Coturnix japonica: one gene and its partners. The protein of the gene in region 1 interacts with the protein of each later gene in a pairwise test. Links are inferred from orthologs where the notes say so. Each region holds a gene or a part of one and is shown on either strand. Other genes may lie near its edges. The genes, in order: CEP44, CBY2, AQP1, ABI3, RNF8 and POP5.

Evidence for each region.
Region 2: the proteins of CEP44 (region 1) and CBY2 interact in binary tests that used the Homo sapiens proteins (3 or more experiments, as listed by UniProt). The two-hybrid records come from large-scale screens. The link is inferred for Coturnix japonica from reciprocal best matches to the Homo sapiens genes CEP44 and CBY2.
Region 3: the proteins of CEP44 (region 1) and AQP1 interact in binary tests that used the Homo sapiens proteins (3 or more experiments, as listed by UniProt). The link is inferred for Coturnix japonica from reciprocal best matches to the Homo sapiens genes CEP44 and AQP1.
Region 4: the proteins of CEP44 (region 1) and ABI3 interact in binary tests that used the Homo sapiens proteins (3 or more experiments, as listed by UniProt). The two-hybrid records come from large-scale screens. The link is inferred for Coturnix japonica from reciprocal best matches to the Homo sapiens genes CEP44 and ABI3.
Region 5: the proteins of CEP44 (region 1) and RNF8 interact in binary tests that used the Homo sapiens proteins (3 or more experiments, as listed by UniProt). The two-hybrid records come from large-scale screens. The link is inferred for Coturnix japonica from reciprocal best matches to the Homo sapiens genes CEP44 and RNF8.
Region 6: the proteins of CEP44 (region 1) and POP5 interact in binary tests that used the Homo sapiens proteins (3 or more experiments, as listed by UniProt). The two-hybrid records come from large-scale screens. The link is inferred for Coturnix japonica from reciprocal best matches to the Homo sapiens genes CEP44 and POP5.

The regions. Positions count from the first base shown.
Region 1 is NC_029519.1:38,907,365-38,911,645, reverse strand, and holds the start of CEP44 (centrosomal protein of 44 kDa), read right to left. Parts: upstream 2,801-4,281; 5' UTR 2,686-2,800; intron 2,554-2,685; exon of another isoform or gene 2,067-2,553; intron 908-2,066; 5' UTR 861-907; coding exon 772-860; intron 186-771; coding exon 38-185; intron 1-37. UniProt on the Homo sapiens protein: Centriole-enriched microtubule-binding protein involved in centriole biogenesis. In collaboration with CEP295 and POC1B, is required for the centriole-to-centrosome conversion by ensuring the formation of bona fide centriole wall.
Region 2 is NC_029516.1:150,251,945-150,255,888, reverse strand, and holds CBY2 (spermatid-associated protein), read right to left. Parts: upstream 2,801-3,944; 5' UTR 2,701-2,800; intron 1,256-2,700; 5' UTR 1,250-1,255; coding exon 272-1,249; 3' UTR 173-271; downstream 1-172.
Region 3 is NC_029517.1:953,034-957,056, forward strand, and holds the start of AQP1 (aquaporin-1), read left to right. Parts: upstream 1-1,223; 5' UTR 1,224-1,301; coding exon 1,302-1,688; intron 1,689-4,023. UniProt on the Homo sapiens protein: Forms a water channel that facilitates the transport of water across cell membranes, playing a crucial role in water homeostasis in various tissues.
Region 4 is NC_029542.1:3,004,010-3,008,032, reverse strand, and holds the start of ABI3 (ABI gene family member 3), read left to right. Parts: upstream 1-1,223; 5' UTR 1,224-1,372; coding exon 1,373-1,483; intron 1,484-2,394; coding exon 2,395-2,562; intron 2,563-2,976; coding exon 2,977-3,153; intron 3,154-3,729; coding exon 3,730-3,812; intron 3,813-3,953; coding exon 3,954-4,023. UniProt on the Homo sapiens protein: May inhibit tumor metastasis. In vitro, reduces cell motility.
Region 5 is NC_029518.1:27,120,547-27,124,046, reverse strand, and holds part of RNF8 (E3 ubiquitin-protein ligase RNF8), read left to right. Parts: intron 1-175; coding exon 176-916; intron 917-1,883; coding exon 1,884-1,946; intron 1,947-2,674; coding exon 2,675-2,764; intron 2,765-3,500. UniProt on the Homo sapiens protein: E3 ubiquitin-protein ligase that plays a key role in DNA damage signaling via 2 distinct roles: by mediating the 'Lys-63'-linked ubiquitination of histones H2A and H2AX and promoting the recruitment of DNA repair proteins at double-strand breaks (DSBs) sites, and by catalyzing 'Lys-48'-linked ubiquitination to remove target proteins from DNA damage sites.
Region 6 is NC_029530.1:8,204,929-8,209,099, forward strand, and holds the start of POP5 (ribonuclease P/MRP protein subunit POP5), read left to right. Parts: upstream 1-1,371; 5' UTR 1,372-1,465; coding exon 1,466-1,485; intron 1,486-1,555; coding exon 1,556-1,698; intron 1,699-1,766; coding exon 1,767-1,916; intron 1,917-2,035; coding exon 2,036-2,119; intron 2,120-2,504; coding exon 2,505-2,641; 3' UTR 2,642-4,171. UniProt on the Homo sapiens protein: Component of ribonuclease P, a protein complex that generates mature tRNA molecules by cleaving their 5'-ends. Also a component of the MRP ribonuclease complex, which cleaves pre-rRNA sequences.

The DNA of each region.
Region 1 (4,281 bases):
CAAGGTCAAACACAAAAAAGAACGTGAAGACAGATACCTTATAAATAGCTTCAATAAAGCGCAAGTCACTCTTTGCTGTAAGTTCCACATCACATTTCACCAGAAGTTCTGCTATGTAAGTTGAGAAGGATGTAAAAGAATAGCTAATTATGGGTAAAAACGCAGCTGGATCGCCCTTCACTAGCCTGTTAAGAAAGAAAAGTACTTTACATAGCAGAAGAGAATAAAAGACCATGCACAACTGCAAACATTTAACTTGGAAGGTTAATATAGCATACATGTTACACTCAGATTATATCTCCTCAATATGGCAAGCCCTTTACACCTCAATTATAGTGTTTTGCCTTCATTTTCAAGTTTTTTCTCTGGTTCACTTGATTGCAAGTACCTTTCCATGCATATCTCGTTTACTGCTATCCATAAAATGCCTGAAACAATGCTTTTTGTGACTTCCCATATGATCCCAACATGGTCAGGTCTAAAGCCCAAAAGTTCAATGTTAAATACCTTGCTCCATCTTTACATGATGAAATTTCCTGAAGAAAGTGTTGTGAGCACTTAGAAAGAAACAAAGAGATTAATCAAGGGGAAAAAAATTGCTCAGACTAGCAAAACTGAATTATTTCATCTTTCATACCACATGTATCAAACTCCAACTTCACACAGACGTAACCTCGCTGCTTACTTATCACTGGATGCAAAGCCAGTATCTTGCTTACACATCTTGCTGTCATCATGTATTAGCAGAAATTTATTGACACTATTTCTTACACTGTATAATCCACATCTCTTGGATAATTTATCATGCGAAGTCCTTGTTCTATTTTTCTTAAACTTCCTTTTAGGTCTCCTGTTGTCATTCTTCCAAACACTGCTCTCTCAGATTATGTGGCAATTGTAATTTTGTCTGCTCAAGAAAAAAATAAGTAAAAAAGAACACATTAAAATTACAATATACATCATTATCTCTGAAATTTCTCTTTTCTAGAGGCTAATATTTCTGATGTTACAAAACAGCATAGAGCTAAGGTTCAGTACTAATTAATATCCATTATTTCCCTCATATCACCCACATCAGGACTGAGTAGAAACACCTAATCCCATCCACTATCAAAGACCTTCAAAGACAGAGATCTGAATGCATATGAAGAATTTAGGGATGCTTAATCAAACAAAATGGAATGAGCTTCTTTATTATCTCAAAGGAGAACACCCTTCTCCATTAAACTATCCACTAAATCAGCCTAAAGTTGTTCAGGCAGAAGTGGTGCAACAAACTCGGCAGCCTAGGTACTTCAAGGTAGGTCTAAGTTTATTGGCACTATAGTCAGAAGGTCCAGTTTTAACCTCTACATCATAACACACAAGTCCCTGCTTTTTAGTTTATCATTCACAGGAGACTCACTTAATGACATAGTATAAACTACAAAATGGTGCCCCTCTCTCTGCAGAGTTATCTTGTAAAAAAGAAAGAAAGAAAAAAAAAAAAAAAGATAACAGAAGAAAATCAATAATGCATGATAACATTATCCAAATCAGCTTTGTCAAAGGCAAAAAGTGGTAAAGGAAACTTGTACATTTAGTGATACATTCTGGCCAAATTGATTAATAAATTCTCAAGTGGAGGAGAAGACTGAGTAAAAAAAAAAAGTCAATTGAACATCATTATCTTCACAGACAGTCCACAAGCACTGTTTGCTGTATCTTGTGAGCACATGTTTATAAGCAAACAATATTAGTTCTTCTCCAATGCAAAACTTTAAAAGCATAGACTGGATAACAGCCAAGCTTTCAAATCACATCTGAAAACAAAGCCTACATCTTAGCCTTCTGAACAGACCACTACAGTTCAAGAAAGTCTATTAGCAAATGTTTGAGAAGAAAGGAGTGGGGGGGGGGGGGGGGGAGGGAGGGGAATCAACATAAACACCAACAAAAGCATGTTAATACACAATATTCAGAAGATATGAAAAGTTCCATATGAACTTATGAAGTTATGAATATATGAAAATATGAATATGAGAAATGAAGTTATGAAAATAATGTTTCTTCAGAGAATTTCTCACATCCTTGAGATCGGCTTCTGAATAACTGCCATAATTGGAAATTGTAGTCTTTGCTGGGTTATGGACTTGCTAGAGGCTTGGGCCCAAAAAGAAGTTGAGAATGGAGTTAAATCCAGCTGGCATTCAGTCTTGAGGTCCCCAGGGCCTGGGACCTGTCCCATCTAATATCTTTACTGCTGATTAGGATGAGAGCACTGAGCACACCCTCGGTAAGTTTGCAGAGTTGGCCAGAAGCATCGATCTGCGTTGGGGCAGGAAGACCCTACAGAGGGATCTGGACAGGCTGGATCACTGTCTGAAAACAGCAGGAAGAAGTTCAACAAGACCAGGTGCTCTTTGATTATCATCTTCGTAGAATTCCTTTCCATGCCAACAAACAAACACTGAGAAGCCCATTAGTCCAAGCAGCAAAGAAGTATTGCCTAGTAAAATGCACGTGGAGATAATGCTCCCAGGATACACAACTTTGCCATCCTCTCCCAGCGGCGGGCACGGGCTGGAGTCCGAGGTGCCGACAGGCTGCGTCCTGCTGCCCCCCGCCCGCCCCGAGGCCAGGGCTCCCCTCCAACACCCGAGCAGCCCTGCTGTCCCAACCCTGCTCGAAGGGCCCGGCACTCACCTGCGTCGCTTCCCGTGGCCGGAGCCTCCCGCCTGCGGAGCCCGAATCTGCCGCCCCGCGGCACAACGGCCGCTTCCGCTTCCAGCGCGTCCCTCCGCGGTGACGCCACTTCCAGCAACAACAGCGAACGTCAAACCTGCCTAGCAGGAGGCGCGGCTGCGGCGGCTCCGTGCATGCCGGAGGGGCCTCACCGCCTCCCCCCACCGCTAGGGCCGCTTAGCCCCTCTCTCTGCCCGGCGAGGCTCACGCACCGACCCGCAGCGAGCTCGTCGCGGCGGCGGTTGGACCCGAACTCGTACAGGTACGAACCGCGGAAGGGCTCCCGCAGCCGGGCTCCGTCCACGGGCAGGCGGCTGCGGGATGATGGACGGGCGGCTCGGCTAATCAGAGGCCGAGGCTGGCTGTCGTGGGCCACTGGGACTCGGGGGCGGTACCACCGCGGTGGTGTTGCGAGGGGCTGGGGTCACCGGCTCCCTCGGCGCTGTCCGGCTCCGGGTCTGACTCGGGTGTATGGGGCTGTGGGGAAGGAAGCTTAAGATACGGGGATGGACTCAGACGCGGCTGTAGGGCTCGGTGCAATGCAAAGGCCTCTCGTGGAGCCTGTGTGTGTGCTTTGCTGCTTACAGAGCTACCAGGGCTACTACATCTTTGTCCTAACAGATGACATGACATTTACCTTGTAGTCTTCTATCATGGGCTCTACTGCAAAAAAGATTTACTCTGGAACACGGTAACACAAAGCAAACCTGGTTCTCGGGATCTCTGAAAGGTTAAGTCTGGCTGGTAAATAGCCACAAGGCAGGTGGTGCCAGGGAAGATCAGCCGTCCATAAATAAGCTTAGTGTCACTTTTTCCTGTCAGAGTTGTGACAGCCAAGCCATCAGAAGGTTGTGGGTACTAGCTGAAATTACATTAATCACAAGTTTGGAAACATACATTTCAGTGGCTTCCTGACTCTGGGGCCTGAAGATGGATGTTCACAATGTTACAATATCACAGTATTACAAAATTATTATTATTATTACTCGCCGTTACTCTTAGAGCCATACAGTCATAGAATGGCCTGGGTTGAAAAGGACCACAATGATCATCTAGATTCAGCTCCCTGCTGTGTGCAGGTCGTCTGCTGCTGAGTAGCCATGCAGTGTGTTCCCAGCAGTCAGCTTGAGTTGAGTCTTTTTGTCATCCCCAAAACTTATTCAGCTGGTGCTTAAAATAGAAATATGTATTTTTAATCATTTTTTTTTTAATTTCAAGAAGTCTTTCTAGGATTCGTGGATACCATAGCACTGTTTTGTTGGTTGTTTCTGTTTTGTCTTGGAACCATGCTGTTAAGTAATCTAAAAGCGATTGGGCTGTAAATGACGTGTCACAATTAGCATTCTGTGGCAAGATGAACCCTGTGAGCACCAGCAACAAACACTGGTATTCTTGTCAGCTCGGTATTGCTCAACAGAATGCAGCTTGTAAACAGGAACTACTAGCTGGGTATTGCAATAAAAACATTAAGCTAGCAAATAAAATTTGGATATTTGATTTAGGGCTAGAAAAACTTCATCCTATGCAACTAGGACCCGTTTACAAGTGTGGCCTGCA
Region 2 (3,944 bases), on another chromosome or scaffold:
CTCAAATTAAGAGTGAAAAGAATGAACTCTTTTTTGAATATGCAGGCTCTCCATTAGCAGAAAATCCCCCCCAAAAGGCTGAAAAGCATGCTTTCCAGGCACCACGCTACCAAAAGTTGAAATCTGCCCAGGTAATATAAGAAAGTTTCAGAATAACACAATACTCTCCAGCTTTAATTTTAGTTCATGCTCTGCTTGTATTTTATTAAGTTCCTGGAAACAAAGAGAGGCACTTTCCAGGAAACAGAACTAGCAGGTTTAGCACCAGGCTTCAAATCTCTCCAAGTTGAAACTCGTTTGCCATGTTCTTCCCTTCTTCTTCATATATTGGGAAAGTGATGGCGATGAGCTCTTTCTCCAGCATTTCCAGTTGAGTTGTAATGTCTGACACAGTGTTTTTCACGTTATTCAGCTGCAGCTTCAATTTCTTGTACTCTTCCTGGAAGAATTTTTTCTCATCTTGGAGAGCGTGAAGGCTGTCTCTGTCATCAGCAAGACATTTCTCCTTGAGGAACACCTGGAGAATCTGGTATAAGTCATGGAGAGCCTGAAGGATTTCATTATCATCCTCTGCGGTTGGTGCAATCTTGGTGTCATTCTGGGTTGGCGTGGTGCTCTCCTCTTTGGCATCATGCTCCTCCTGGGAGGATGTGCCAGGGCTACCTTCTCCCGCAGCTGTGGTACATTCAGTGACCTTCTGAACTGAGCTGGCGCCTTTGTTCTCTTCTTGGACTATGAAGGTTGGTTGATCTTTCCAAATGCTGGGAACTGTTCTATTCTGCTTATGGAAAAACTCTAAGAAGCTGCTTCTTTCTCTGACCAGCTGGAGAGCCTTGTTGCTTGGACTGACCTGAAAACCTAAATGCCTCTCTGGGAAGAACGAGGACAGCTTATCTTTCTGGAGGCTTTGCTGGATGATGTCACTGTAAACAAGCTGGACACCTTTGTTCTGTGTCTGGAGATATTGCAGAGCCTTATTTTCTTCCCAGAGCATCCTGTTTTCGATACGGAGGACTTGGTTTTCCTCCCAGAGGGCTCTGTTCTCCTCCCAGATGCTCCACTCGTTCTCTGTCTTCTTGTTAAGGAGTCTCCTCTGGGATGCAAATGTTGGCTGGCAGTGCACCTCATTCACCCATTTACCATCAATAAATGTAAATGTCTCATCCCTCAGTTTCATCCGTGGGAAGACACAGTCCATCTCGGGCCTTGTACCCCGTGTGCTCTGGTTTGTCAGGTCAAAAGCAGACATGGTTATCTGTTGGCAAACAGAGAAAGATTGTGAAAAGACTTCTGCAGGAGGCCACTGCAGGAGGCCACTGCCCACTGGCAAGGACTAGATGACACAGAAGCTGGAGATGAAGCTTGATTAGGACTGCAAGAACAGGAGAAAACAGGCACTAGTGGAGAAGGCAAAGCCTTGGTGGCACCACAAAGTTTGATACAAAAACCTGGACTCTCTTTTCATCCCCTTGCATCAGTTTTACAGTCATGGAAGATAAATAAAATGCAGAAAGTCATATGAAATGAGATTGAGATTGAACTGCTTTTTAAAACAAAAGTATTTGTTTCTTTTTACCACAGCATAAAACTGTTGGGTTTTTTTCTGATAAAAAAAAAATGGTAGGCTGACTGCCAGTTTTTATCCTTCTTGCCCCAAAGCCTTCCAGTCACCCTCCTGTCCTATATGGCATCCAGTGCTGCCATATGACTGGTGGGCAGTCATTTTGCCTCTGTATCTGTCCCAAGCACTTGGCAGGGGGTCAAAGCCATGGCCCAGCTCTGCCAGGACACTGAACCCTTTGTCCTGTTTTGCCCCACAACCTTCACCAGCTGCTGCCTCCCTGGGCTCCTCCAAGTTACTTCTGAGACCCACCACCCACAGCTACCTCCTTCTTTGCCTTCCCAAACTTGCTTGAAAGCTCAAAGACATATTGCTACTGTTCAAAGCCCCAAATCTCTTCTTGAAGGAATAATTGCAATATGGGTCTGTTTGCCGTAACACTTGATTTTATTGATATAAGGTCTCTGCTTAACTTTCAGAGCTGCCTTCCGCATTGCCATCTGGTATATCTCACATCAGACTTGTGTTTGCATAATGTCATTCCTCTGCTAAAAGGGATTTCCCACTGTTTGCAACTGCTTGCCAATTTCCGCGTTTATTTTTCCCCCTTACATTGTGTTCAGAGCACAGCGAGCAATTTGTTGCTCCCTGCCTCACACAGACCTGTCCTTTTCCCTCAGAGGGTGCTGATGTCCCTGTCATTATCCCCATGATGGGAAGCTGAATCACAGGGGGAACTGATCCCTAAACCCTGATGAGAAAACAGCCAGCATCACAAGCCAAGACCCACCCTTCACTGTGTTTCATGCGCAGGCATTTAAAGCCACTTATGTTTAAAGTGTTTATATGGCAAGTTTTGAGGATAAACAGCAGTATATAATGTATACAGCATTGAAGGATGTTGTCCTGGGGTCAATTAAACTTGACAGCACCTCTATCAGCTCCTGTGTATTGCAGGGGAGAGGTCAACCCAGGCTTCAGAGAAATTTTCCCACCTTCCTTATTCATATTCCCAAACTAAAAATTCCTTCCACAGGATGGGGAGATGGGTTGGAGGAGCAGGGTTGGGGGAGACCGCATGAAATCAAGCATATATAGGTGTTTTGGCAGTACCAAATTACATACCAGCATGTACTCACCTGCTTGTTGGAGATGATACTCTACCCTCTTCACTGCCCTGCACAGCTGCCAGGTCTCCGCTTGGCTTTTTAGCCTGAAGTTCTGCTCCAAGTTCTGTATGGGGGGGGCATGGTGATGAGATGGGACAATGGAACCCACTGTGATGCGATCACCACGCCCAGAGCCAGCCCCTTCTCCACAAGTCCAGGAGCTCCCCCCTCTCCCCCCTCACAGCCCATTTTGTTTTATTTTTCCCAGCATTGCACATTTGGGTCATTTCTCATGGAAACGACCTTTCCAGTAGCCTAGCTCTCACGTCCTTTCTTGAACCCAGGCTTCCCTCTCTGATGCACATAACTGAGAGCAGTTTAGATGGATTCTCCCTCCATCACGCTCTCCTAAAAGAAATTTTGCTTTTATTCTGAATCTAACACATTAATTCTCTGGCTGAACCAATGCTGATAAGTTCAAAAACCACTTCCTTCTGTGTATGCGCTATGACAGCTGAAGTTATTTTTAAAGGACAACATGGATATGAGTTTTTCTGTAACTATAAGTTAAAGAGTAGATCATCACTGAACCCCATTAAGAAGAAAACAGAACATGCAGGGCATTCATGCATTACAAGTTTAGATATTATTTATAGCAGCTATTCCTGCTTCCATGTCTTTATGTTTCTAATAATCTCATTCTCTCTCTTATTTGCTTAATCTTTTAGATGTGGATTATTTCTTCATCTTTTTTCCTGTCATCAGGGTTTTTGAATAATAAATACAGCAATTAATGTCTATTCCAGTGAAAATTACCAACTTGACATCAATCCCAAAGTGACTGTTATTGCTTTAGGAAGTTAAAGGTATAGTTTGGCTTCAGTGTTCTGCAAAGATAATAAACTTAGGCATACAATTCTCTTCTGTATTTTTTTCCTTGTTTCTATTTCATCTCAGACAACACAATAAATAAGTAAATCAGAAGTTCCCATGACAACTCCCCGGGGTTCATTCTCCTCTGTTCAAGTTCTGGGGTCCTACAAAGAGAAACTGGAAAATATCCCCCTAAGAAGTAGTTGGCCTTCAGTCAGATGGCAGTGCCAGGGTGCTGTCCAGCTGCTACAGCTCTCAGGGGAGGCAGCTGAACTTCTGAATACCTGAGTGTGTGGACCACTGGCACAGACCTTAAATGAAAGTTTTAAGTTCTAAGAGCCGACAGAAAACTGAGCTAACAGAGACAAGGGCACCGTGGATTTATCAGCAGGCAAAGCCTG
Region 3 (4,023 bases), on another chromosome or scaffold:
TCAAATTAATTTAAATGCAGTTTAGGAAGCAGCGGTGCTTCAAGGGAAGAAGAAGAAAAAGGAGGAGGCAAAGCAGTGGGATGATTTTAAGTGCTCTTCTTTCAAGACTTGTGTCTGGGGACTTTGTTTCTGCCTCTGGATCGAATGCTGAGCAGCTGTAAGTCCGAGGAAGCCCCCTGGCTTACAGAATATGCTATCAGCAGCCTCTCAGCCCGCAGCATTCTGAGAGCACAAGGGTTAATCCGAGGCATGCACACACGTCCTGCCGCAATAAAGCCCGGAGCGATGAGACCTTTTGCTGCCGAGGATATTCTGGCTTTGTCTGTTGATTCATTTTGTCTGCAAAATCAAGCATGTAATGCCCCTTCTCCCTCTCGCTCCCCTTACGTCCCCGTTTCAGTCTCCCCCGTGACAGCTGATGTTCCTCTGCACTTTTACTGTAGGACGTGGGCTGGGGAGTCCCTGAGCGGCTGCTTTGAGCTGATCAAGAAACCCTGAGATTAGGTAAATTAAATAATTAAATATTAATAGAAATGAATCTATCCCTCAGCACACAGGAATCACGGCCGTGGAAAGCTTCCCCTTGCTGTGGTGTCCGGTTCTATTTACACCGCGGTCACGGAGGTGGGGAGCGATCCCTGCCTCAGTCAGCTCAGATCAGTGCATGTTGCTCTGTGTCTGTCCGTCCGCGATCAGGGTGGCATCCAAAATGTACTCGGTCCCCAGGAAACCAGCAGGAGAGACTTGTCTGTTTTCAAATGAAACAGGGATCTTTCCATCTCTGGAGCGTGGATTTAGTTATCAGCTCTGTTTACTACTGCTCATTGTCCCCCAGCTGCCACAGAGCTGTGTGCCGTAATTCAGCTCAGTGCTTCTCCTTTCAGCCCTCTGTCAGGCAGAGACCCCGCGACAGCCCTTGCTCCGACCCGAAGGATGAGGGATGTTAAATAGAGTGAGGGTAACATTCCCGGGGCTCTCCCAAGGGCTCTTCCGAGGGCTTGAAAAAGCCTCTTAAAAACAGCAGCAGAGATCGAAGGCAGTTAAGAGAGAGGGAGAAAAAAAAAGGAAGAAAAAACTTTGGCAAGCGTGCAGTGTCTTACATCAATCTAACAGTCAGCATCGATGTAGATGTTCTTTCCTCCTTTTGTGCAACACCCCTTCCCTCCTACAGACCACCCAAAGCCCTATAAATAATCCAAGGACCGTATTTTCTCTCCAGCTTTCTCTTCAGACCTCGAAGGGAAAATACCAGGCAGGGGAAAGGAACAGAAGAGAGAGAGGAGGGCAGAGAGAGAGGAGAGATGGCCAGTGAATTCAAAAAGAAAATGTTCTGGAGGGCAGTGGTGGCCGAGTTCCTTGCCATGATCCTCTTTATTTTTATCAGCATTGGCTCGGCCCTGGGTTTTAATTTCCCAGTGTCAGTCAACGGGACATCAGCAACTCAGGACAACGTGAAGGTTTCGCTGGCTTTTGGGTTATCCATCGCGACCATGGCGCAGAGCGTGGGCCATATCAGTGGTGCCCACCTGAACCCGGCGGTGACCCTGGGCCTCCTGCTGAGCTGCCAGATCAGCATCTTCAAGGCACTGATGTACATCCTCGCTCAGTGCCTGGGGGCAGTGGTGGCCACTGCTATCCTGTCCGGAGTCACCTCCTCTCTGCCTTACAACTCCCTGGGGCTCAATGCGGTAAGCTGAAACTTTGCTTTCCCCCCTTGACTCTTTTTCCCAGACTAGAAAGGTGAGGGCAACACCTGTAAGGATGTGTGTGATGTTGGTGGTAACCTCAGGCAGAGAGCTTGTCCTGACTGATGCCAGGATGCGTGCATTCACTGCTATCAGCTGAAGCACTATTTTAATCCTTTTCTTTGGTAAGAGATGCTGTAGGGATGGTCCTTCTGTTCTTTTTCAGAGCTTTATGGTCATTATCAGTTTTGCTCGTGTTCAGTTTTGCATATCCATGCTGCAGAAAAGTGACTTTTGGTACCAATGTAACATTGAAATCACTGATATTTGCATGGCTGAGTCTCTTTCCTGGTTCTGAAGGTCTCAGGTAACATGTCTTTGGCTTGTGATGCTGGTTAATGTGTATAAACTGGTGTTTTCACTTCTGTGAATGTGGCTCTTTTTCAATACCTCATTAATAGTTTGTGTAACCTGATAAGTGCAGTGTAAGAACCTACAGGACCAGTGAGAGATGGGTAGCAGGAGAAACGCTGTCACCAAAGGTGTGAGCATCATCTGTTGCATTTGGCACAGTGCTCTCATCCTGCCTGATGCAGAATCTTAGCTGCACTTTTCTTCTTTTTCCTACTCTTGCTGTGCAAAAATGGGGGGAAATATGAATTTCTCAGGTGTGGGTCAGAGGATGAGGTGAAGAATCTGCATTTTTGAGAGGTGCAGGTTTCAGCCCTCTCCCATCCAGGTGCTCACAGCTATTGTCCATTACAGCATACAAACAGCTGCCTGGTGGCAACCCCTCCTCTTTCACACGTTATTCTTTCTTGCTGTTGCCACTGGACTATAATGGGGCAAAAAGGACAGTCACCCTTTTCAACATGAAATCATCCCAGTATCAGCGCATGTCAGCAAGGCAGTATGCAGAGGAGTACTATAAATGGAAATTCCTTTCTGGTCACTTATCTCACCTGATTCTATTAAGAATGCTTATTTCATAGCTTTTCTATGCCCCCCTTCTTGCAGAATAGTTGATACAGTTTGAAACTTGGATGTATTTGAAATCTTAAGCCCACTGGGGCACAAAGGTCCAAGCACAATATCACTTCAGAAATCATTTTGGAGAAAAAAATAAATAAATAGAAAAAGACAAAGAAAAAAGTTTTAAGCATTTTGTGGCACGAGGAAGAGGAGCTTCTGAAAATACAGAAGCTGACATTAAGGAGGTCAGCGCCACCCATTTGTGCTGCTCTTTGTGTTGGCTGCTCACCTCCCTGCAGGGGTCTCACCCTGCCACCCATCTGGGAACTCCTGTGGGATCATCCAAAACATTTTTGGGGGAAGAAGAGGGAATCTTTTCATTAACTCCAGCGGGCTCTGGCTGCGTGTGTGAGACGTGATCCTTTCCTCTGAAACCACTGGCAGAGGGAAGTGCTCAACCGCATGGGACAGGGCACCCGCCCCGGTGGTTTCCTCGAGAGGTCTGGCTGCCAGCTGCCATGGAACGCGGGAGGTCTGCTTTCAGCAGCATTCCCATTTGGTCTTTGCCTTTTGCTTGCCACAGAGCACTAGTGGCTGGCTCCTTCCCTTGCCCTGAAGCTCCTGAAACTGGTTGTTTGCAAAGTGGGTGTAGGGGACCACCTCAAAAGCTTGCTCCGCTGTTGGTAATTCTTCAAGTTACAAAGATTTAAGTCAGATCTCTGCACAAGGGCATCCAAATAGAGAGAAGTCAGAGATGGAAAAATCACGCAGTGAATCTCAAAAACTGCATTCAAGAGTGCAAGCCCTGCCCCTCCCTCTGGAATACATTCAGTGCACCTTTTTTAATACCATAAAATCAGTGGTAGGAGAATGTATACTCTAAGTCTCCTCCATGCTTATTTTACAAATCTGGCAACACTTTTTGCATGTGGATTGGTGGATGAAATCATTCCCAAATGCTGTGAAAAGCCCTGGTCTTGTTATTGTCAAACACTCAGAGTTTTGATCTTTTATATTCTATTTCCCATCCAGCAATAAATGTTCTGGATAGAAGAGAGCGGGGGGAGGACATCTCAGGAGATAGGGAGAGCAGCAGCTGTTCTTTTCTCCTGTAAGAAGGAATTGGTGAGGAAAGCAAATCCATTCTTTTCCCACTCAGCTGGGACCAGCTGGGGAGGGGAGATGAGGGACTGAGGGGGCAATGGGTCTGAGCCCAGCATGGGGACAACAGAACAGCTGTCCTCACACAAAGCTGATCCCCACAGGGCACATCCTGAAGTCACATTGCACTGCCTCCTTCAGCAAACAGAGCATAAGGGGATGCCGCAGAGACTTGCTTTTATGTCATGCTTGCTTTTCAAGCTGA
Region 4 (4,023 bases), on another chromosome or scaffold:
CAGCTGTGCTATCAGCTCATGGGGGTGATGGTAACACCTGCAATTCCTTTGTGCCTGGAGGAAGCAAAGCCACTTACCTGTATGGATGAGGGGCTGCCCCTCTCACTGCTGGAGATGTTCAGAAACCCATCGAGCTGCCGTCCTCTGTGTCTGCACTGTTCTGTTTGAAGACTCCTTTGGATCTCCCAGCCTGTAGCAAGGAGCAGATGTCTTTGGTCCCTAAGCTGATAATAGACTCAGAAGAATAAGCTGGTCAGGTGTTGGGCATTAGCCTCAAAGCTTGGGGTAATCAGTGGTGGGGCCATAGGGGAGGGTGAGGGAGGAAGGGCAAGGGTGGAGATGAGCTTTGTGGGGCACTCAGCAGCCCCTGAGCTCACACTGTGTGTTTTTGAGCCTATGTAGGCCTGGGGCCTGGCTGGGGGAGCAAAGGGAGCATCCCTTTCTCCTATGGGATGGAATGGGGGGGGCAGGAGGCAGCTGGGGTGGCTCTTGGCCATTAAGGGGGTGAGAAGCAGAGCTGGTTCATCATTTCCCTCATCCTCACCTTAATTGCTGTGGGCAATTATGGACATTTGGCTCTTGCTTTGCCCATGTGAAGCCCTAAAGCTGAGGACAGAACTCAGGAGGCCCCAAGGAAGCATAAGGAGGAGGAGGTAGAGGGGGATTCCCAGCATGAGGGACCCTCCCAGTGCTGGGAAGTGAGAGTTTCCTGCCCTTGGCTGTGGCCTCTTGCACTGTCCTGTGCGGATGGGAAAAACCATTAGCAAAGCACAAGGAGGGACGTGTTGTCCCAGCAAACAGAGCTAAGCAGAAACTGATGGCTGCACCCAGCCTGAGCTGGGTGAGGTGCAGGCACGGGGCTGTCTGGAGAAGATGAGCTGGCAATGGAAGCATCACTCTGGAGCTAGATCTCCTCCTGCCAGTCCCATAAAGGCAAGGGGAAGGGAATTGCCCTTGCTGGGTGCAACAGAGCCAGGCCTGGCCCCCTGCCCCCCAGGCTCCATCAGAGGATGGAGGTGCAAGCTCCAAATTACCAAATTTGGGCTGTCAGGAGCCAAACTGCAGCACTGACCTGGAAATGGTGCCCTACCCATGGCCATGCTGCCTTCAGCCTCATGAAGAAGCCATACTCCCTTGATGGGGCTGGTTGAATTAGAGGGGGTGAGTATGGATGTGTAGAGCAGTTGTAGGCGGCCTTGCAGCACTCCAACAGCTTTCAGGTTCTACCTGCAGCCTCCAAACCTCCACCAAGGGAAGCTGGGAGAGGTGACAACCCACGGAGCATCAGCAAAGCAATACGTCAGCATCACCGCGAGCTTCAAAACTCGGCGCCTTAAAGACTGGGGAGGAAGTGGGCTCCGGTCCCAGCGCTATGGCGGAGCCGCTGCAGCCCTGCGATGTCCCCGCAGCACGGCAGGGACTGCGTGATAACCACAACAACCTGCAGCGTGTGGCTGAGTATTGCGAGAGCAACTACCTGCAGGTGGGGTGTAGGGATGTGTGTGGGGCTGGGATGGGTTGGGGGGTCTGTGGTGGTGATGGGGAGGATGGTGTGGGGGTGAAGGCTTTGCTGTTCCCATTCATTTCCTGCCCAGCATTGAGAGCTTCTCTCGTGCCTCAGTTTCCCCTCTGCTCAGCCATCAGGGTTATGTGTGGGACATTGTGGGGGGGGTCTTCTGGGGTTTTTTGGTGCTGGAGGGGAGCAGGGATGGCAGCTCAGGGTCTGGGAGGTGCTGACAGTGCTCACTCCTTCCCAGCATAGGGTGGGCAATGGGCTCTGTGCTGTCCTACTCCCCCCTGTCCCTGTGACCTGCTGAGGGGATGGCAAAGGGTTGGTTTGGCCCCATTGGCTGGGAACAGTGCCCTGACCGGGGGTCTCTTGGGTGCTTTAAGGATCCCACCTTGGTAGCCTCATTCCCCCATGGCAGACCCAAGGGAGTGGTGATGGTTGTTCCCTCACCCCATCTGGGGCTGTGAATCTGCACTCTGTCCCATGGCCGGGCATTGCTGCTGCCTCAGTTAAGCATCATCCAGGGCTGGGTTGTTTTCTCATGCTGAAGCTTCTGGTCGGTTCACAGCCCCCCAGCTGCATCTCTGAAGGGGAAGCATGCAAAACAGCTCAGAGAACTGAGACTGCTTCCCCAGCTGCTGGCAGCGGGACTGGAACAGTCCCAACAGCACAGACCCTCCTGATCCCCTCTGTGCTTCTCCCACTGCACCCTGATGGTGCTGAGCATCGCTGAGTCCCACTGCCTGAGCTGGAGGAACTGTGATGCATTTGGAAAGCAGAAGGAAGCCCCTTTGCTCCCTTGTGACCCTGGTTTGGGTATGACGGCGGCGGCACTTTGTGCTCTCAGCCATCCCAGCTCATCACAGCTGTGTTTCACCCTCCAGGCAAGCGACAAGAGGAAGGCTCTGGAGGAGACGATGGCTTTCAGCACACAGTCCTTGGCCAGTGTGGCTTATCAGGTCAGCAGCCTGGCCACCACCTTCCTGCAGCTGCTGGACCTGCAGGCAGCCGAGCTGCAAAAGCTGGAGGCCAATGTCAGCTGTGTAGCCCAGGTGGGTCTGACCTCAGCCACTGCCATGGGTCTGTACTGCTGTGGGGTTTCAGCCCTGAGAAAGGAGCAGCTTACAGGGACTGGAGACCAACTTTTCTTGTGGTTTTAATGGCCTGTCAGCCCCTGCAGCACCTTGGTCACCCAAGAAGCTAAAGGACAAGACTACCGAGGGGTGGGAAACTGTTCTTAAGGGCTTGTCTTAGTCTGGGTGTTTGGGGACCATGGCAGCCTCTGGGGAAGCCCCCAAGGAGCTACCCTGCAGCAGTCACATAGGCTCAGATGCTGTTATCTCCCCTCGGTGGACACTGGCCTCGTCCCCTTGGAGAACTAGGGACAATGACTCAGAGCCCTGCAGCCACTCACTTTCTTCCTGATATTTGAGGGCTCCTTAGAGCCTTTCCTGCTGCCTCCACAGAGCGTTGACATGCACAAGGAGAAAGTATCTCGTCGGGAGATCGGCGCTTTGACCGTCAGTAAGAGGTTCCCATCCCACCAGAAGATCACATCCCCCCCCAACCCACCCTCCCTAGAGCCCTACTACAGGAAACCCCTCAACTTCAGCATCCTGGATGACATCGGTCACGGCATAAAGGTCAGCCTGGAGGGTGTCCCGTGGGTAGATGGGGGTTTAGATGGGCTTTATGTGATCTGGTGGGGGTACAAACCCCTCCTGGATGGAGAAAGGGGGTCTGTCTATGCTTCCTCCAGGACTTGTCCCAGTGGGGCTCATCTTGGTGCAGGAGGGGAATGGGACACTGACAATGCCATAAAGGCACACAGTCCCAGAGTTGCTTGGCTAAGGCTGAGTTGCATTACACCCACAGTGCTGTTCCAGCACTGAAACTGCCCCTGTAAGCTGCCCCCTCACCGGAAGGCGTCTGTGGGTTTTCAGCAGCATCAGAGCCACGTGCACAGTGTGAAACCGCTGTGGAGTCGAAGGGGAAGTGACAGTGCTGGGGCTGCAGTTCCCACGGTGGCAATGCCAGACAGCAGCACCAATATCTGCTTCTATCAGCACCAATATCTACTTCTATTAGCTGGGGCAGCCCCTCACCACCCCCCATCCTTTTGAGAAGGGTTCAGCAAAGGCCTTTGGGGCACTATAAGGGCATGGTAGGCATGGAGTGCAATGAACTTGTCATGTGTATGTGTTTTCTTCTGCCTGCAGGATCACAGCACTCAGCTGTCCAGGACAGGCACACTGTCTCGGAAAGGGATGAAGATAACCACACAGTCTGCAGGCACCATGGGGTGAGGCTTCTGGGATGGTGTAGAGTAGGGAATCTTTAGCTTGGGTGTCACTGAGCAGGGACAGAGCCATGGGGTGCACTGCCCAATGCAGCTGCCCTCTGTGTCCTGTCAGCATGGGCTCAGTGCCTGCTCTGTTGGCAGGAGGAGCACTCGTGTCCCTGAGCCCATCCAGCCCCCCGTGGTTCCCGAGGGAAAGCTCTCTGCAGCTTCA
Region 5 (3,500 bases), on another chromosome or scaffold:
TTGATTTAATAAATGGGACACTGAACCATTAAGTTGGAAATTGCAAGGTTTATTTAAAGAGGTGGCTTGTTCTGACTGCAATACTGCAGAGACTGGATATGTTTACAGTTGCCAGAAATAACTTGCAGATGACTTTGTAACTGTATATTGAACCTTGCTGATTCTTTGTATTCAGAGTCTAAATGGAGTTTGGCTTAATAAACAGCGCCTGGATCCTTCAAGAACCTATCCTATAGCAGAAGGAGACCGTATCCAGTTGGGAGTGCCTTTGGAAAACAGAGAGACTGCTGAATTTGAGTATGAAGTAATTAAAGAGGAGTGGGAGAAAATCAAACCCTTTTTAGCCCAAAGGAGTGACCTGGGGAAAGCTAGGACCTCAAGACCTAAACGTAAATTTACTTTGGAAGAATCGGAGACATGTGGATCAGAAGGCCCTTCAAATTCCAGATCCAAAAGGGACAGAGTGTCGTGTGATGGAGAACCTTTGAGTAATACATTGGGAAGAGTAGGAGAGGCAGAACAGTTGACAGACAAGGGGGTTGTCAGGCTGCCCTCTCCTGGATCAAGTGAGGACGATGGTGGTCCAGTGCGTGGTAGCCTTGATTGCTCTGAGAAAGCTGTGGCTGTTGCTCACAAGGACCAGAAACACTCCGCTCTTTCTCAGTCATGGACTGGCCTGGAAAAGCTGAGGAAAAATCTCACAGATATAAAGAAATTAAAAGTCAAAGTGCAGGAGAAACAGACAGCAGTTCTGAATGCGAAGCAGAAGCGCAGGAAGGCTGCTCAGAAGACGATCCTAGCAATGGAAAAGGAACTGCAAGAGTTGCAGGACAAACTGTGCACAGAACAAGTACAGCATCAGCAGCAGGTGGAAGAGCTGGAGAGGACATTCTCCAAAGAGAAGCAGAAGCTAGAGGTATGATGGTGGTAATCATTTCAGTCTGTGTGTTTTGAGATATATATTTTTTTCCAATTACGAAACTAAAACTCTGACCCTCTGTGGGTTACAAAGAGGACACGTTAAAAAGCGTTCACGTTAAATGGGATTTTTTTCTTAGTATACAGCTTTTCTGAATTAATGCTAAATTCACGTGGGGAATTTATTTCCTTTTCAAGCAAGTGCATCATTTTTTGCCTGTCTTAATTCAGAGTCTGAGGAAGGAGGGGTTTTTGTTGTTGATTTTTTTGTTTTGTCTTTATTAGGAGAAAAACAGTCTCTTCTTGCTACCCGCAAGTGCCTTCTAGCACTGTGTGGATGCTGATAACTTGTTTTAGATAGGAAGCTACAAGTCTATCTTTCTGTTTGACTCTACTTGAAATCTGGTTCAAGGGAAGTAAGGATTCGTCTGAGAGTTACTTACCTGATTTATCAGTTACTTCCTTTAAAGTCTGCTGCTGAAAGCAGAATACTGTATCAGAAGTACAGGAGGTTTGGAGTTGTGTGCTTAGGATAAAGGGAAGTTCACCTGAAGCTGTAACTCTGTCTGGCCTATTTAAATGTGTTCAGAGAGAGAGCTTCAACTTTTTCTCATGTGTAAGCTATTGCCAGCTTCCTGGCTTCTGTGAACATTGCAGTGTCTTCAGAGCTAGAGTAACATGGAGTTGTTCCAAGTATGGAACTGTAAGTGATACATTCATTTTAGCACTTCACAGTAAATGGGAGCTGTAATTTCAGTAGTACACTTGAATCTCTACAGTAGGCCTTTTCAGTTTCTGCTGAAAATCAGTTTTGTTGCTTTAATTATATCCTCTAAATGTGCAAAATGGTTCTTTTCATTCCCGTGGTATCTTCAAGTATTTTTTTTTCTTCCTCCAATAATTGCTTTACTGCAAGAATGTCTAGTTTTGGTGTTTGATTTTTTTTTTTTTATTTTTTTTTTCAGGGAGTAAAAGGGCAGGATGGGGAAGAGAATCTGAAGGAGCAGCTGGTCCAGGTTCTGCAAGAGGCAAGTAATTAAATCTACTTGGTCTAAATATGGAACTCATATACTTAAATCTTACTGCTTCCACTCTTGGTGGAAGACTAGGACTGTGTCTAAAGTGCATTTTGAGTGGTCTTTATCTTCTACAGACTAAATTATTGCTAGGAAGAGACAGGCCTCCCTTCTTGAGAGTTGTTATTTATCAGCAGATAACACAAGAATCTGTGCTTTTAGAAAGTGTTAAGTAGTGTAGTGGTTCTACTTGAATCCGGTCCACATACTGGTGGATATTTTTGCTAGGTCTGTCCTCTGGTTATCTGTTTTGGGAAAGCTGCCTTGGTAGTTTTAAACCACAGGAAAAAGGACTAGTTTTGGTTAGGAATGTTTCTGAAAGAGATTGTCAAATGCTTAGTTTTCCTAGGCTTTCTGTCTAAAAGGTTTTAAGGCTAATCCAAAAAGAGATTCAACCAGCCCTTCTGACAGGCTTTTGTGACACTTGTGTGTCAGATACTCCTTGATACTCAAATGTAACAGATGCACTCAAGACAGTGACCAGAAAAGCAAAATGAAATGTAAAGTAAGTTGTAGGTGTTGGGTGAACTTCCTTAACACCTTGGCTTATATAGAGCTGGTGCTCTTACAGGAGAAGAAAGGAGAAATGAGTGTGCTGAACCTCATGATTAGATCCATGTGTATTTAATAGGGTAGCTTATAATAACACTCTTATTTTTGGTATCATGGTATCATTACAGCATCATGCTTTGATGGAAGAACTGAGCCGTAGTAAAAAAGATTTTGAGGAGATAATTCGAGCCAAGAATAAAGAACTGGAGGAAACCAAAGTAAGTAATAAAACTAAGTTCTCCGTAATTGGAATATGATATGCTGTGGCAGAATAAATGATTTAACATTTGCTTTGGCTGTGTGCTGCCTTCTGTGTTGAAAAGCTCTTGTATTTTGGTCTGGCGGCTGATTCACTCTGTATAAGATATACTCTTTGCTCTGTTTGTGGAGTAGTATTGCAGAGTTATTACCAGATACAGAAAGCACAGGACATCTGAATAATGTTGTGCAGGAGAAGCTGACCCATTCTTTTCTTTAAAAGAAAACCAAACAAGGGTATTGGAAAAGTGGGTGCTTCATTTTCAGTTTGCGTGGACTGGAGTGAAACTGCAGCATGTTCCAGCAGTCCAACAAGGGAGCACGGGACTGAGACAACGTAACATTTTAATAACGAATGAGATAAGCCATGTTTCTTCCTGCCTCTGTCAAGATGATGAGTGGAAGATAATTAAAGTGATCTTGTGCTGTGTTCTACACTTGGAAATTATGATGTTTCATTCCTCTGGCTATTTGCTTTGTTTTCTTCTGTCAGCTTTGCAACTGTTGCTTTAAGGATAGTTCTTAGAAGATGTAGCAGATGCCGGAAGCCTAATTTAACCCTAAACAACAAAATATGAAGATTGATCCAGTTTGTAGATTCTTTAGATTGAAGGGGACTTTAACAGTGGCTGTTCTTTCTTGTAAGCACTCTGTTATGGACAGGAATATTCTCAGTACTGCTGTAACTACAAAATG
Region 6 (4,171 bases), on another chromosome or scaffold:
TCCTGGCAGGTCTCTGCAGCCACTCTTCAACTGGAATTGCAGAAATCTTCTGGATTTTTCCCTCTCCAGCCCTATTTTTGGAGGCTGTTCTTTCCCACCTTGACCACGTAACTCAGCGTCACTTATGATTTGCTTCTTGAATCACTGGCACAAATCAATACAGCAAAGGTCGCAGAGGATGCAGCGAGGAGGAAAGGAAACAAAGGTGGAGGTGCTGGAATCTTTTACTCCTGCGCTGTCAGCTCAGCACACCGTGAATCCCGAGCAAACCTGCACGGCTTGTGCAAACACGAGCTGTGTGTGCAGGGAGCGGTGCTGGCTCAGGGCTGCTCTGTGCATTACCCAAACCAACAGCAGGGAACTAAGGGCTGTACCCTGAGCGGAATGAAGCAGGACAGCGCTGTCCCAGCACCGTGTCTCTCCTCATCAGCTCCTTGGACCGCAAACGGCGGCTCTGCAAGGCGCAGAGTGCACGCACAGCGCACACGTCCCATCGCATTACAGGGCGCACTGCACTCACGCGGGCTGCTCGCAGCTGCGCCTCTGCAGCAGCACAGAGCGGGGGAGGGAAGGAACGGCAGCAACACAACGGGCTGGAGGGGAACGGCACCGCACAGACAGCACGGCACGGAGTGAGCACACAGCACTGCCAACAGCCCGGGGACACAGCGGGACAGCACGGAGACGGGGGGAAAGAGAGACAGCAGCGCCACGCGGCTGCATTGGAACGGGGCACGGAGCACGGAGCACAGGGCACGGAGCACAGGGCACGGAGCAGAGCAGAGCACAGGGCACAGGGCACAGGGCACAGGGCACAGGACACAGGGCACAGGGCACGGAGCACAGAGCAGAGCACAGAGCACAGGGCACGGAGCACGGCCCGGTGTCAGAGCACAGGGCACAGGGCACAGAGCACAGGGCACGGAGCACGGCCCGGTGTCGGAGCACGGAGCCGCAGCGCAGCCCGGCTGTGCCCGCAGCCCATCGTACACGTACAGGCCGCCCAAGGCCCGGCCTCGCCGTGCGCTGTTGTCCCCACTGAGGTTCTCGTTGCCACCTGCCTGAAGTGCGGCCACAGGTGACGGAGCGGAGACGGGACGGAGCGGGAGCAGCAGAACCGGCGGTTGCTGCTCATCGCGGACGGGCATCGCGCCGCCGTTTGCGCCGTGTCCTCAATGGAGCCCACGCTCAGTTCGTTCCGCCCGATCCGCCCCGTGCTCACACGCGGCCCAGCCGCCGCTCGACGCCTCCACCCGCCACGAGCGGCCCCGCGCGGCGGATGTGGGCAGCGCGGGACGGAGCGCGCATGCGCAAAGAAAAGGAAGGCAAAGAGGAAGAGCGGAGCCGCGCGTGCTGAGCGGGACGGGAAGTCCCGCCTCCTTCCCCGCCCCATTGGCCGCGCTGAGCGCAGGCCGCTCGCTCATTGGCTGGGAGCAGCATCCCCGCGGAAGGGCCGGTTGGCGGCATGGTGCGCTTCAAGAACAGGTGAGTTGTGAGGCTGCTCCTCGCGGTGAGGCGGCTCCGTCCCGTTACCGGCATCGCCCGCCGCCCGCAGGTACGTGCTGTGCGAGCTGCTCTCCGACGACCCGCGCTGCCGCCGCTGCATCGAGGATCGCGCTGTGGGACTGGCCGTCAGGGACGCCATCGTTAGGGCGCACGGCGACTACGGGCTGGGCTGCTGCTGCGTGTCGTTCACAGGTAGCGGGGCGGGGCGCGGGGTGGGGCGGGGCGGGATGCGGGCGGTAACGGGCGCGGTGTGTCCGCAGTGAAATACCTGAACGCCTACACCGGCACCGTGCTGCTGCGCTGCAGGAAGCCATGCCGGCCGCTGCTCTGCGCCGCGCTGCCGCTCGTGCGACACCTGGAGAGCCGCGGGCAGCGCTTCCACTGCGCGCTGCGCACCCTGCACGTGGGAGGTGAGGGCGGAACCGGGACCGAACCGGGACCGAACCGGCACCTGCACTAATGGAGGCGGTGCCCGATGCGCTCGTTGGGTGCGGGTGGTTCCGAGGGCTGTTACGTGCCGCTCCTGCAGGGACCATCAGAACCTGCCAGAAGTTTCTGATCCAATACAACAGGCGGCAGCTGCACCTGCTGCTGCGGAACTGCGCCAATGAAGGTGAGTTGTGCCGGCCGGCTCCGCTCATAGGGCTGCAGCACAATGACTGTGTGTGCTTTGCACAGGGCACAGTGACTGTGTGTGCTTTGCACAGGGCACAGTGACTGTGTGTGCTTTGCACAGGGCACAGTGACTGCGTGTGCTTTGCACAGGGCACAGTGACTGTGTGTGCTTTGCAAGCCACAATAACTGTGGTTGCTTTTGCACAGGCACAGTGACTGCGTGTGCTTTGCACAAGGGCACACGCTGGATGTGTGCTCGCTTGCACAGGCACAGTGACGTGTGGTGCTTTGCAGCAGGGCACAGTGGACTGTGGTGCTTTGACAGGGCACACCTGAGCTGTGTGCTTTGCACAGGGCACACTGACTGTGTGTGCTTTGCACAGGGCACAATGACTGTGTGTGCTTTGCAGAGGAGAGGCGCAGGGTGCAGCAGGCCGTGATGAGCTGCTCCATCACAGAGGAGCAGGCACAGAGTGGGGATGAGGAGGAGGAGGAGGAGGATGGCACAGAGACGGACTGAGCAGCACCTGCTCACCTTTGTTCTGCATCGACCATCTTACTGTGTTCAGTAAAGCAAGTAAAGGTGCTTTTCATGTCCCTGCATGGACTTCATTTCTCTCTTCCAAATGTTCTTAAATAAAATGCATTCAAATAAACCACAAAAGATTACACTGCAGTAGGTTTTTCGCCTCTTTTATTCCAGGATTCAAACCTTTGACTGCTCCTAAGGAGCAGAGAAGCTCAATGTGATCTTCATGCTGAGGTAGAACTGAGCTTTAGGCAGTTGTATGGGAAAGAAATGGAGTTATGCTCCTTCAGTACAGAGAGCAGGAACTTCAGTTTTTGACCTTATTTTCCAGGGCACCTGTTCTTCATGGGGCTGTCTGGTGCTTCAGGTCACAAAAGCACCGATTGTCTACATGGGAGCATAGATTACAGCAAACACAACATGGAACTACATGGCTCAGCTCCATCCAACCCCTTTTAAAACTCATAGGTACAATTACTGCTTAGGTATTTATTAAGGTTACACCAATCAGTTACAGGAAGGTAGCACTGCTGCTCACAGCTCTTGAATCCATGGGAAAACAAGACGCAACTTGAAGGTCTGCCCTTTGGAGACCACTCAAGTAGATACTCCTGTTCCATAGCTTAAAATGACACAAGTAGAAAACAATCGCACTGTGAACGCAGTTAACTGCATACTTCAATTTATTTCATGACTTTTTTCTGTGCCCTCACCAGTTTTCCTGTGTGCATTCGAAGCATTAACAACAAGCTGTGCACCACTCCTGGGCGCTCTGGTTCTTTGTATTCCCTTGGCAAGCTCTGCTCTCCCTCAAGTGTAGTTAGTTGTGACCAAGTGTGAAATTAAGCTGCTTTCAAAGAATGTTTTGCAAGTGTTTCCTCTGTTCTCCTATCACAACAGAAACGTTCCTGACCTCCCCAGTCTCCCCCCCTTTCTGTCTCCCAGCTGCAGACTGGTTTATGCTCTTTGGTACTTGGGTGCCTTCAGGAAGCACCTGTAGAAGGAGCCTCTTGTTTTGACATGAAGCACCGATATGCTGACAGCCTTTTTAGGGAGGGATAAAAGCAATGAGTGTATCAGTGTGAGGATGGCTAACAACAGGAGTCTCAACTCCACGACTTCCTTGCTCAAACTGGTCACAGTGCAGAAGGGAGGGGGGGCATGGATTGCTTCTTAATGGAAGCATAAGCTTTTCAAACACCATGTGAATGCACTTCTTGGTACAGGTGGGGCTGAATGTAACAGAAGATACCTGTCACTCTTGCCCTATGTTACATGGTACTTCATACCAGCTTCCTGAAGGGAACCCATAGCATGAGTAGGATGCTAAATTTGCACGTGTTACCAAAAGTGGCATGATACTGTGGTGGTACAAACATTATAGCTCAAAAAAGTCTGCAGTATTGTAAGTGTGCGCATGTGATTTATTGCAACTGGTGGCCTTGACTGGTACATTACACCTACAGTTCATTTTATTTAACAAAATCCACACCACTTAACTCATTAGCTTCAAATCAAACC